3 linked regions of the Oryctolagus cuniculus genome follow. The protein of the gene in region 2 purifies or fractionates together with the protein of the main gene of each other region. This does not show direct contact. Links are inferred from orthologs where the notes say so. Each region holds a gene or a part of one and is shown on either strand. Other genes may lie near its edges.

Evidence for each region.
Region 1: the proteins of BRD8 (region 2) and MAX purify together in Homo sapiens (affinity purification with mass spectrometry; 3 studies listed by BioGRID, with this or other methods). This does not show direct contact. The link is inferred for Oryctolagus cuniculus from reciprocal best matches to the Homo sapiens genes BRD8 and MAX.
Region 3: the proteins of BRD8 (region 2) and H2AZ1 purify together in Homo sapiens (affinity purification with mass spectrometry; 4 studies listed by BioGRID and IntAct, with this or other methods). This does not show direct contact. The link is inferred for Oryctolagus cuniculus from reciprocal best matches to the Homo sapiens genes BRD8 and H2AZ1.

Annotation. Positions count from the first base shown.
Region 1 is NC_091451.1:11,144,873-11,149,085, forward strand, and holds the start of MAX (protein max), read right to left. Parts: upstream 2,801-4,213; 5' UTR 2,536-2,800; coding exon 2,500-2,535; intron 1,803-2,499; coding exon 1,776-1,802; intron 1-1,775. UniProt on the Homo sapiens protein: Transcription regulator. Forms a sequence-specific DNA-binding protein complex with MYC or MAD which recognizes the core sequence 5'-CAC[GA]TG-3'. The MYC:MAX complex is a transcriptional activator, whereas the MAD:MAX complex is a repressor.
Region 2 is NC_091437.1:25,969,058-25,972,557, forward strand, and holds part of BRD8 (bromodomain-containing protein 8), read right to left. Parts: intron 3,386-3,500; coding exon of another isoform or gene 3,326-3,385; exon of another isoform or gene 3,006-3,325; intron 706-3,005; coding exon 427-705; intron 1-426. UniProt on the Homo sapiens protein: May act as a coactivator during transcriptional activation by hormone-activated nuclear receptors (NR). Isoform 2 stimulates transcriptional activation by AR/DHTR, ESR1/NR3A1, RXRA/NR2B1 and THRB/ERBA2.
Region 3 is NC_091439.1:65,413,196-65,417,246, reverse strand, and holds H2AZ1 (histone H2A.Z), read right to left. Parts: upstream 2,801-4,051; 5' UTR 2,383-2,800; coding exon 2,380-2,382; intron 1,961-2,379; coding exon 1,883-1,960; intron 1,585-1,882; coding exon 1,471-1,584; intron 1,167-1,470; coding exon 1,037-1,166; intron 745-1,036; coding exon 683-744; 3' UTR 309-682; downstream 1-308. UniProt on the Homo sapiens protein: Variant histone H2A which replaces conventional H2A in a subset of nucleosomes. Nucleosomes wrap and compact DNA into chromatin, limiting DNA accessibility to the cellular machineries which require DNA as a template.

The DNA of each region.
Region 1 (4,213 bases), on a different chromosome or scaffold from region 2:
TACCACAGGGTCAAAACTGCTTCCCTTGCCTTCTCCCCAAAATCAACGGGGGGGAAGTAGGCACCTTAACAGCAAACTGAAAACATCTGGACAAAACAATGAGAGTCGCCCTCTAGGAGAGGAACTACTCTAATAATCTAATCAACAAATTTACATGAATCCACGGGGATGAACATTTGGAAAAGCAGGAAGCTTCCAAAAACCGTGAGCCAAAATTTCATGCACAAAAGAACCTTCCTCTCACCGGGAAGCCATCGGAATGCAAATGCACAGGGCGGATTCTGCAGCGACTGACACCTGACTGACCAACCCCGGTCCAGCCCTGAGCCAGAGGTCGGCAAACAATGCTGCAGGCACACTGGGCTCCGCTGCCACATTAGTGAGGACAACAGCAACGGGAAGAGGGAATTCAATTTTCACATCCATGGGTGAATACGAGTGTGCATCATGACTTCAAAGAGAAATAAAGCACAGCAAATATTCACGACTGCTGGCCAGGAGCAAGTGCACGCTGGGAGTTCAGTGGAAACATCAGCTCTCAGGCCAGCTTTCCTAATGGTCTCTCTTGGACAACCCGTGCCACCTTGGCGTGCTCTGATGACGCACAGGGACAATGCAGAGAGCTTGCCTTTGTGGTTACTAAATTCCTACACCAGGGGTCTACCGCGGCATCCTGCAAACTCTACCAAGCCTGCACACAGCTGGTCCACACATTCTTTTGAAAATCACAAAAGTCATATACAAGTTGTGGATTTCCACTATTTCCTTCACAACAGGAAGATCTGGCAACAGCGGGTGCTCCTCCCACATACCCACCCACTGGGGCGGAGGAGCGCCTGCCTCTTTGGGAGGCCTGTGTCCCCCAGGAGCCCAGGCCCCACCTCTTCCCTCCCCTGGACTCTCAGCTCCCCACTGCCTGGGGCACCCCACAGCTCCCGGCTCCTAGCTGACGACCAGCACAGCCTCTGCCACGCTTCGCTCTTCTTGCCCGCTCCAGTGCGGATTTACTCCGCATCTCTCCTCTGCTTTCTCTGATCTAGCCACACACGCCCGCAGCACGGCTCCAAAGACAAGAGCTCCGAGTGGGAGTGCACAGGAGCACGCCCGAGCACACTGGCATCAGAACGTGGGAGCCACCGCGAGAACACCGGTGACCGCCTCCATCACCTTTCCCCAGCGCTGTCTTCAGCCGCTCTCACCATTCTCTATCCCCCTCTCCTTCAACTGGGACAGGGGCCGCCCACAAGGAGCCGCAGGTCAGGCTGGTGCCACGGCCCGCCCGCCCGCCCCGGCTGGTCTGCCGTTGGTGCTACAACACCTCGGCCTGCCAGCCCCATGACTCCCGGTTAGGGGCCATTACTGCATGTGGCTTCAGCCGGACCCAGCTATGTGGCTAGGGTTCAACACCGCCTGCTGCCTAACTCAGCCTCCCAGCTCCTTGGCCCTGGAGCGACGCCAGCCACTATCTGCCTCCAAAGGCTGTCCTCATTCCCCACTCGCACGGCAGGAGCTGCAAGCCCGTGTGGAAACTACAGGCCATTCCACGTCTTGGCTTCACTCAGCACTCAGTCACCTGAGAATCTGGAATTATGGGATTCGCAGCTCTCCCTCCCCACCCCCCGGCACCCCGGATTCAGGCCCCACCTCACCTTAGCGGGCAACAGGAGGGTTTACTACATTATTAAAAGTATTAGAACAATCTCTGGTTCTCTCTGACCCCAGAAAGGACTAGAACTGAACGGAAATGAAAACGAAATGGAGAGTAGGAGACGTACCGCAGATTGAAACCTCGGTTGCTCTTCCTGGAATAAGAGAGAAAAAAAAAATAGAAAATATAGAAGTTATTTTTACACTTCACACTCAATAATAAGAAAGAAAATGCCGGCGGCGGAGGAAGCGGCGGGTGGGGGGGGGGGAGTCAGCCCTTCACCCCTCCCTCCCCGCCCCACGCCCCCACCCTCCCCCAGCGGGATCCAGTAGCCGGGCAGGGGGTCCCGAGCGCCGCCCCTCTTTCCGGGATCCGACCCGGGCCAGAGGGGTTCCCGAGCACCGTCTCCTCCCCTCGGACCCAGCTCGGGCCGCCGGGACACTCCCAACCCCTCTCCGCTCTGCCGCACCCCCCGCACCCCCCAGGATCCGCGGGTCCCGGGAGGAGGGGATCGCCGACCCCAGGATCCGGACAATGAGATCCCGGTCGCACCCCAGCCCTGTCCCACGGAGCCTCAGCTGGCTAGGGTGGCGGCAGGAGAACGGGCCGGGGGTCCCAGAGGCCGCGTGTCCTCTCCCCCACCTCCAGCCCGGCAGCCCCGAGGGGAGCGAGCCGGGAGCGCGACCGAGGCGGTCCCGGCCGGGGAGGGGAAAGGGGGGGAGGAGGAGGAGGAGGAGGAGGAGGAGGCGGCGGCTGCGGCCCGGCCCCCTCCCGCCGTCGCCCCGCTGAGAGCCCTGGCCGCTGTCCCCGCCTGACAACCCGCACGGGAAGGAAGAAGCCCCGGGACTCACGTCGCTCTCCACCTCGATGTCATCGTTATCGCTCATTTCCTACGGCCCAGGGAGCGGCCACTGCAGCGGCGGCGGCGGGAAGGGGGAAGGGTGGAGGGGAGGGGGAAGTCACCGACAACAAGCAGCCAAGTGCCCCCACACACACACTCACTCACTCACTCACTCGCTCTCTCACTCACTCACACACACACACCCCCACACACGCACACACACACAACACGGGCGAGAACCACCTCCTCACTGCAGCACCGGATCAACGGCGGCACGCACGCCCGGTCGGCCCCCTGCCACGTGATCGGACTCGGCACGCTGGGGCAGCCGAGTCTTGTAGTTCTCGTCCTTGGGACTGACGGCCCGGCGAGAGCCCAAAGAACTACAAATCCCAGGAAGCACTGCAGCCCGTCGACGCCAGGCCGGCTTGCGGACGGAGCTCAGGGCGCCTGCGTGTCCCGCGGAGGAGGGCGGAGAGAGAGGCGGCGCGGCGCCTTCTGGGAGACGTAGTCCGCAGACCGCGAGTTGTCAGGAGGTTTTCCTCCCGAGGCGGCAGAGGAGGCTGCTGGGAAGACAGGACACGTGGAGGGAGCTGGGGCTCCGGAGCCGGGCACCGTCTGCGCTCTGGGCGCCGGGCCCGGGGGACAGGGTGGAGGCCCTGGGGGAAAAGCCGGCCGCATAAATAGCGCTGCCTCTCTTTGGTGCAATTGGTTTTACTTTGTCTCCTGGATGCTGGAGTCGCGCCGCTTTGCGCCCTGGGGCGTAACCTGCCGCGGCAGACCAGGGGGCGCAGCTCTGGCTGCCCACGCGGACCCTCGGGAACCGTGGAGGTGGTGATGGCAGGTGTGGGGTGGTGTGACGGCACGGGCACCGCGACCGCCCTCGCCGAGGGACCTCTCCTAGCCGCAGAGGCTTGCGTCCCTTTAGCGGGCAGTGTCGGTCCGCACGGCGCACGTGAGGCTCCCAGGACCACGGAGCCCACCCCCGGCAGCCGGGGTACCTGGAAGTGAAAGCGCCTTCCGGGTCCGGCGTAGCTCGGGCGGTCTGCAGAGTGCCCCGGCCCGGAGCACCGCGGCTAAAAATTGCAGACTGGAAGACTGGCGCAGCTGCCTCTCCGTTTGAAATCATTTTTACAGATCTGCTTCTCCAGTGTTCACTGGCACCTAACAGGTGCCGAAGGGGATGCCATCATGTCCCCTGCATTCATGCAACTCCCAGCTGGCAAGCAGAAGTCCACGCTGCGCGGCTGCCATTTCAGAGTGCACACAGGAAGGAAAAACAAAACAGCAACAAAGACATTTTCCGCCCTTATGTCCGATCTCCAAAATAAGCGAAATCTTGGACTTTTCCCCTGACTTCCGGCTGTCCACATGAGGAACCATTTTACCCCTGACTTTTGAAAGCAGGAATCTGGAGACGGGACACACAACCTTTGTGGCATCCATGCTGAAGACATTGGATGTAGATGTGCATGAACGCCCCTTTCCATTCTGTCCCTCTAAATAGTTCTCACTGCTGGTGAAGCCTGCACATCTTTTTTTTTTTTCCTTTTTTTTTAAGATTTATTTTTCTTTATTTGAGAGGCAGAGTTACAGAGAGGCCGCCACAAAACACCAAACACCGGAGTAAGGCAAAGGGTTTATTGGTGGGGTAAACCCCACAGACCGGAGGGAAAGGGAAAAGAATGAAAAGAGAGAGAACAAAAGACAGTGAGAAAGAGCCA
Region 2 (3,500 bases):
GTTCTAGCTGCCCTACTTCCAATCCATTTTCCTGCTAATGCATATGGAGGAAAGCAGCAGCAGGTGGCCTAAGTATTTGGACTCTTGTCACCCATGTCGGACCTGAATGGAGTTCCTGGTTCCAGGCTTCTGCCTGGCTCAGACCTGGCTGTTGAGAACATGAGTGGACCAGTGGATGGAAGATCTCTCTCTCCCTTCCTGTCATTTTGCGTTTCAAATAAATAAATAAATATATTTTTAAAGAATGCACTTGGTGCATACTCTGTATCAGCACCAAGTGCCAGGGATACAATATTAAATCATTTCTGTCAATGTGAGTCTCCTATTTTAGTAAACAATATTAAGAGCATTAGAAACATGTGAGGGTAAACATTCTCTTAGAAAGTGGAGGTTCTCCCAGCTTTGGAAGTAGCAGCTCACCATTACCTCAGAAAGAAAGTGGAGGAGGTTCTGGCGGTTCACTTGCTCTGCCTCTCTCTGAGATTCCTCACTGCCTTCATCCCCTGCAAGCAGCTCACTAGGTTCTCTCCTTGGGCTGCTTTCTTCTAGTTCCTCAGCCCCTGGATCCTCAGTTTCCCTCCAGCTGCCCACATCAAGATCCAGACTGGAGTCCCATGAGCTGAAGAGGGACCTGTAGTAGTTGCTCAACTCAGAGTCACTGGGATAGTCTTGTACAGAATCCAACCAAACCCACTCATGCCCCATCTGTAAATACACAGAAAAAAAAGAGCATTAAAATCATTCCAATTCATATTCCCAGGGACCTCAATCTCCTAAGTTCAGTAGAAAGATAAATATCAGAAATGTCTCATCAAGAAGTATAAAACATAGCAGAAGAAAAATGCTGGGAGATGACATGATCTTTAGGAATAAAGAAGTCCCATTTTAATAAAATAAAGATGTTATACTGTACAGTGCAGTACAATGTATTACCCAATAACTATTATTTCCTTATACTCCAAAAGGGAAAGAGCTAGAGCATAGCTAGCTTAACAGACTTCCTCTATCCCCCAATCACCCATAAACTCAGTTGCAAGGCAATAAACTTAAAAGGAACACGGGATACTTTCCTTGTTTTTTTAAGCTGTTTACCATTACATACTGAAAATACACTTTGATATTACCTTTGGCATCCTTATCGTCAAATCCACTATCACTTCTCAAAACGAGATCCTCAAGTTTCAAAAATACCTTCCCTTGCTTTCTTAACTACCCTATTCTGATTCTCTTACAACTTTCTCCAATCCCTTTTGACTTTCAATAAACTTTGGTCTTCTATTTCCTTGCATAGTCCAGCTTCCTTAACACTTCCTCTAAAAAATAAAGCATTTTTTAAGTTTCAACTTTGACCTCTATGAAGATGATTTCCTGTTTCTTGTCATTGTGTATACACACAATGTACACATATATGCATACTGTTTCAACTTTGTACTCTATCAAATCTCTCAACCTTTTATACATTCTGATCTCATTTCTCCACGCATCTGAAAGCAAATTCTCTTTTGAAATCCTACTATCTGCTTCAACTCAGCATTTTTATAACTAAAATCAATATTCTTCCTAATTTGCTCTCAATTTCTTTATCCCTATCACCAACACTATTTTCTTAGTCTACGCAACTCAAAATTATTCTTAAAGTCAGCAATTTTTTCACAATTTTCTGTCATCATCCTTTGTTTCTGGGGAAATGTCAGGCTCCTTAAGAGTTAAACAATCTTTACTTCAACCTGCTCTCTGCCAAGTGTCAAGGCTTAAGAACAGCTTTCATCTCAAACATGTTCTTAGTCTACCACTAAAAGTCCTCCATAATTAGTCCTACTTTATCCTCTTGACTGGTGTTATATCTCACTATTCCTTAGTATGATCACTGTTCTCTTATCTCATTGCTCCTACCATGGATGTGCAACACTATTAACTCATCTTGCAAAGCACATCCATCCCTTTTCTAAAGCAATACCTATGTCCTTTAATGGACTTTCCCCACAAACCTGCAATTTTTATTGCTTCAGTGTTTTTATCACATGCCTGTTTGTGGATAGCTTTGGCAACCGAATATTATAGGTACTTCATTTTCTAACTGTTGGGTTGATTTCTTTCCATCACCACAATAGGACTATTATTTCCTACTTCCTGACAACTGCTGTAATTCCTTTTGAAGGCCAAAAAATATTATCATGATCTTCTTAAAACTTTCTCAACAATGCAGAGTCTAGATAACACCCCATTAATATCTCTATACAATAAAAAGGCTCATAATTAGTTCATTATCACTAATGAGCTAAAGTTTTTGTTGTTAACAAAAATTGGAATAGAACTCAGTGCCTAAATTTGTTAATTCTTAAACTGAGATTAGCCTTCCAACAGCAATATAAAGAATTCTATTCACAAGAGCCCTACCCACAGGGAGTGCAGTGGAGGATGGCCCAAGTGCTTGGGCCCTGCACCCCATGGGAGACCAGAAGCACCTGGCTCCTGCCATCGGATCAGCGCAGTGCGCCAGCCGCGGCGGCCATTGGAGGGTGAACCAATGGCAAAGGAAGACCTTTCTCTCTGTCTCTCTCTCTCACTGTTCACTCTGCCTGTCAAAAAAAAAAAATAAAAAAATAAAAAATAAAAAATAAATCAGGGGCTCTTAAGACACAGATAAGCCCCTAAAAAATAAAAATAAAAAAAAAGGTATGATCTACAGATAGTCTGAAGTAGGACAAATTTTCCTGAAAGAAAGGTTAATGCTACCCATGTAGCATGCTTGAATCTTCTTTTAAAAGTGCTATGAATTCAACTCTAAAAAACTTGTTTTCTCATTCAAAAGCTGAATAACTAAGTTATTGTTGAACAATATCTCAAAACAGTAATTATAAATTCAATCCTGTTTACTCACCGTCTCTCAATTAAGTAGGCAATTCACATTATAAAGTCACTTTATCCTCTAATAATATTTTCACAAATAATGTAGGAAGAAACAAAATTTTCAAATATACACACAAAAAGCACACACCAAAGGCTAGCATTTTTTCTTTTACATTTATTGTATACACATACACTTCACAGGTTTATTTTAAAAAAATCTGTACACTTCACAGACAGTACAAACTAGCTACAATCTGTTAGCTACACATTAGGACATTAACACAGCCCATGATTTTTGCCCTAAAACAGACAATTGTGCTACTTCAACTCTCTGAGAGAGATTTTCCCAGCTTATGTCATGTGGCCCAGGCACTCCTCTTCTGTAACTTCCACTTCTGGAACTGGGCCTGCAAGCCCAAGCTTTATCTTGTTTACTTCTATTTCAGAGTCAGCTCAAAGAGGATACTTTCAGGCTTTACTTTTTCATCTTCATATCTGCTTCAATGGCACAGCGGCGTCCCCTGGTTCCTCCATCCTACATGACAACAGAAAAAGAAATGGAGCATGAGTGAAAATGAGTGAGCTGGTTAGCCGCTAACAAAGTACAACAAGGTTGGGGATTTGATTTCTTGGGGGTAAAAGGGAAAGAA
Region 3 (4,051 bases), on a different chromosome or scaffold from region 2:
CTGTGCAGGTGCAAGCCCACCAAGGCGGCCGCGCGCCAGAGCAGTGCTGTCACTGCGGCACAGCCAGGGTGAACGCTCAGCTCACTTGGTCCCTGGTCCCAGGAAACCCTAACCATCTCCAGCTCCTGCAGAACTTCTGAGAAATTCATAGCACATTATGGTGTAACACTACCTTGTACCCGGTATCTGACCTTTGTCGATCTACAGGTTAACAGTTTAATTTCTACAGAAGAAATGTGCCTAGTTACTGCTGGACCACAGTCAAAACAAGTTTCCATTACAAGCAAGCAAATTTAAAACACAACTAGTTTGGGAGATGACCTTTATTGAGCTTATCCACCTAAGTGGAAATAATGTCTGTACAAAACCAAATGTTTGTTACTATAACTTCTGCATCACAATTAAAATCCAAACAGTTTTTTAAAAACAGTCAACTCAATCAAAACCCACTACTTCAGAATCAATAGCTTCTTTGAAGCCACAGTAACACTTAAATATGGTTAAGACTTGAATGCAGAAATTTGGTTGGTTGGAAAGCTAATTAAACTTCCAACTTGCTCAAATAGAATTACAAAAAGGCAAAATTGTGTTTTTCACAGAGATACAGTCCACTGGAATCACCAACACTGGACAGTTGTTAGAGTATTTAGAGTCCTGAGATAACAAGGAATCCAGGCATCCTTTAGACAGTCTTCTGTTGTCCTTTCTTCCCAATCAGAGACTTGTGGATGTGTGGAATGACACCTAGGAGAGTGACAGATAAATTCTACTTTTAATGTAAGTACTTTCAAAACCACACAGTACTTTGAAACCAAGGCATTTTACGCTTCAACGTGCAAGATCTTTCAAAAAAATGTGAAGCTCAAAATACCAAAAACCCATTGAGTTGTTTACATAAACCAAATTTCATGACCCAGCCATACTGCATCAATGAAAACATTCTCAAATGCCCTCTGCTAGACTAAAATCTAATAGGAGTTAGAAGCCAAGGGTTTCTGTCCTCCGAATAAGGAAGAAAACCAACTTTATTACATACCACCACCAGCAATTGTAGCCTTGATGAGCGAGTCCAATTCTTCATCTCCACGAATAGCAAGTTGCAAATGACGAGGGGTAATGCGCTTTACCTTTAAATCTTTTGATGCATTTCCTGCCAGTTCAAGTACCTACAAGGCAGACGCTCATCAATCGCCTTTGACCAAGGTGCAAGGGCAGAATCAAAGCTTAAGGAACAGGAATCTGCCAGGTGTTCCCCCCTATCCAGGGGACACGCAATTACTGCCAGGAGCAGCCAACTCCTCCGGCTCAGGAGGCTCCCTTCCTGGACACCGGCTCCCTCTAGCGTCCTCCCGGGCTTCTCGCCGCGTCTCGGGCCTGGAGTCTTCTTGCATCACTTTCCTCCTTCCCTCCGGCCGCCTCCCCCGCCCCCCCCCCCAGCCCTGCCTCGATGATAGGCGTCCGCTCAGTTACCTCTGCGGTGAGGTACTCCAGGATGGCAGCGCTGTACACGGCGGCAGTCGCGCCCACACGTCCGTGGCTGGTCGTCCTAGATTTCAGGTGTCGGTGAATGCGGCCCACCGGGAACTTAAGCACACACAAACAAGAAACGCATAAAGACAGGGAGCCAGGGCTGGCGGGATCGCACGCGCGCCAACGCAAGGGGCCCGGACGCTGGTGCAGCCAGGCACCCTAGCATCCACACACGTGATCGCCGCCCCCCCCAACCTTATTTATCGTGTGGGCAGCCCCCAAGTCGCGACACCGCATCCCCAACGCGAAGACGAAACGCCCATCTAGGGCGATGATAAACAAGAAAGGGGGGTGGGAGGGGGTGTGCAAAGAAAAACGCCACGGTTCGCAGACTGCACGAACAACTACTGACCTGCAAGCCGGCTCTCTGCGAGCGGGAAACCGCCTTTGTCTTGGCCTTTCCGGAGTCCTTCCCAGCCTTACCGCCAGCCTGCGGCGCGCACACGCCCGCGAGCGGAGGAGGATCGGAGAATATAGAATTACCAGGGCGGCGCGCCCCTCCCCCACCGCGGCGCGTCCCCGCGCCCCGCCGGGGTCTCCGGCCCGCCACGCGCCGCAGGGGCGACCCCGCCCGCCGGCCCCCGCCGCGCGCCCGCCGCGGCCGCGCGCCTCCGCCCGCCCGCCCGCCGGCCCCCAGAGGCGCCGCGCGCGCCACCCAACCGTCGCCGCCCGCCGCGACAGCCGAGGCTGCTCCGCTCGCAGCCGACACGCCACCTCCCCCCCGCTCGTGTAAATCCCGTCTCCGCACGTCCCCAACCGTCGCCACTTCACCCTCATCCCCGTGGGTAGCGGGTTTCTCTCCCGCCGGCAAAATCCCGCGGAGTTACCGAGCGCCCCTGCGAACTTTACCATTTCGAATTCTGCGGAAGCTCAAACAAGCAAGGCAGAGAAAGGGCTAGTCTGACACACAGCGCGATCCCACCACCTACTCCTCCGTCGCACCGCGATTCAAACTGCGCTGTCTCCCGCCTTCCCCGCTGCCTTTATACTGCAGAATGTTCCCTCATCCGGGAACTCGGATTGCTCATCCCACCAATGGCTGCCGCCCGCCCTCGGGACGCGTCCTTGAGGCCTCAGCCAATGAGAAAACGAAGAACAGGGCGGAGAGGCGGGCGCTTCCAAGCTCGAGCCGCGGTTGGCGCGTGGGGAGGAGGTGGGGGAGGGCGGAGGGATGGGAACGGGGGAGAAGAAGGGCATAGCAGCGGGAGGGAAGAAACAGAACGAGGTGCGCAGCGCGAGCGAAGAAACCAGCAGGCTCAGTCACGTGTCTGGGAGGAGGAGCTGAGAGGCTCAGGGGAGGGGCGTGGGACAGCGCCCCCCGCCGGTCCCTTAGCGGGATTGCAGAGGCCACGTGAAGTCTCCTCGGGGTCTAGCGCGGCCCCCACCCCTAACAGCACCGCCTGGGTTCTCGCCGCCCGGAATCGGCTCCCCTGCAGCCTTCTTCCGGGGCCCCGGGCACCCATTCGCCTGCCGCCCTCCCAGCCCCTGGCGGCTGCGCTCGTCTGACAGGTGGCGCGACCGGGTCGGCCAGGACTCGGCCGTTTCCTCCCTCTGAGCTGGTTCCCAGCCGCCGGCGGATCCCACTTGAATTTCAGCGGAGTCCTCTCCTCCTCTTTCCCCCACCACTTTATGAAGACACCCCCGCACACACGCACGCACACACACGAGGTGGTTCTGTGACAACAGTCGGCGGAGCCGAGTTACCTCGCTGGGCACAAAAGACCTTTTTGTTCACGCGTGGGGAGCTTGGCGTGAGCTGGTATTTCTTTAGTCAAACCGTATTTTTCTGGTGTCTACAGGTCGGTGGGTTGTACCCACAGGCCGGTGTCTAGAGTTGATTTAGTGAAATCTCAGAGCTATTATGTGTCAACTTTTCTACACTAAATATTTCGCTGCGTGACAAATGTTCGGTAAATGTCAGTGGGGTAACTAACGTGATTCACAGGCAGTTACAGATGGTCCATGTAATCAATTGCAAATGGTGGGCTTAAAAAATAGTACTGTACACACAGTGCTATAATAATGCCAGCTACTTAGTCTTCCAACTAATAGATTAATAACACCTGTGCACATCTCCAGCTGTTTGGGAATATAATGTTACATGTTCAACAACTGAACAGTTGCAACTTGAAGTATTTGAAACATACATTCTAACTTTAGGTTTCAAGGTTTCAATTTGAAAGTTTTTTGTTTTTTTTTGGGGGGGGGATCAAAGGACATTCCTGTTTCTGGGATATAAATTCTAGTCTATCTTTTCATTATTCTCCTTGGAACTGAGGAGTCCTTGTGATGTCATCAATAGCAAGAGTTCATCAGATCTCCAACTAAATTGATAAGATGGCGATAAAAAGCTGTGAAACTCAATGTAATAGTTAACCTTGTCGCCAGTGAGGCTTCACTCAGAAACCAATATTAATGCCTTCTCCGATTTAGATAATACTCTCTCTGGGATGAAGCCCAACTGAAGAGAAATCTCTGTTGCCTCTTTGGATCGTGTTTGAGAGAATGAATGGATTCGGGG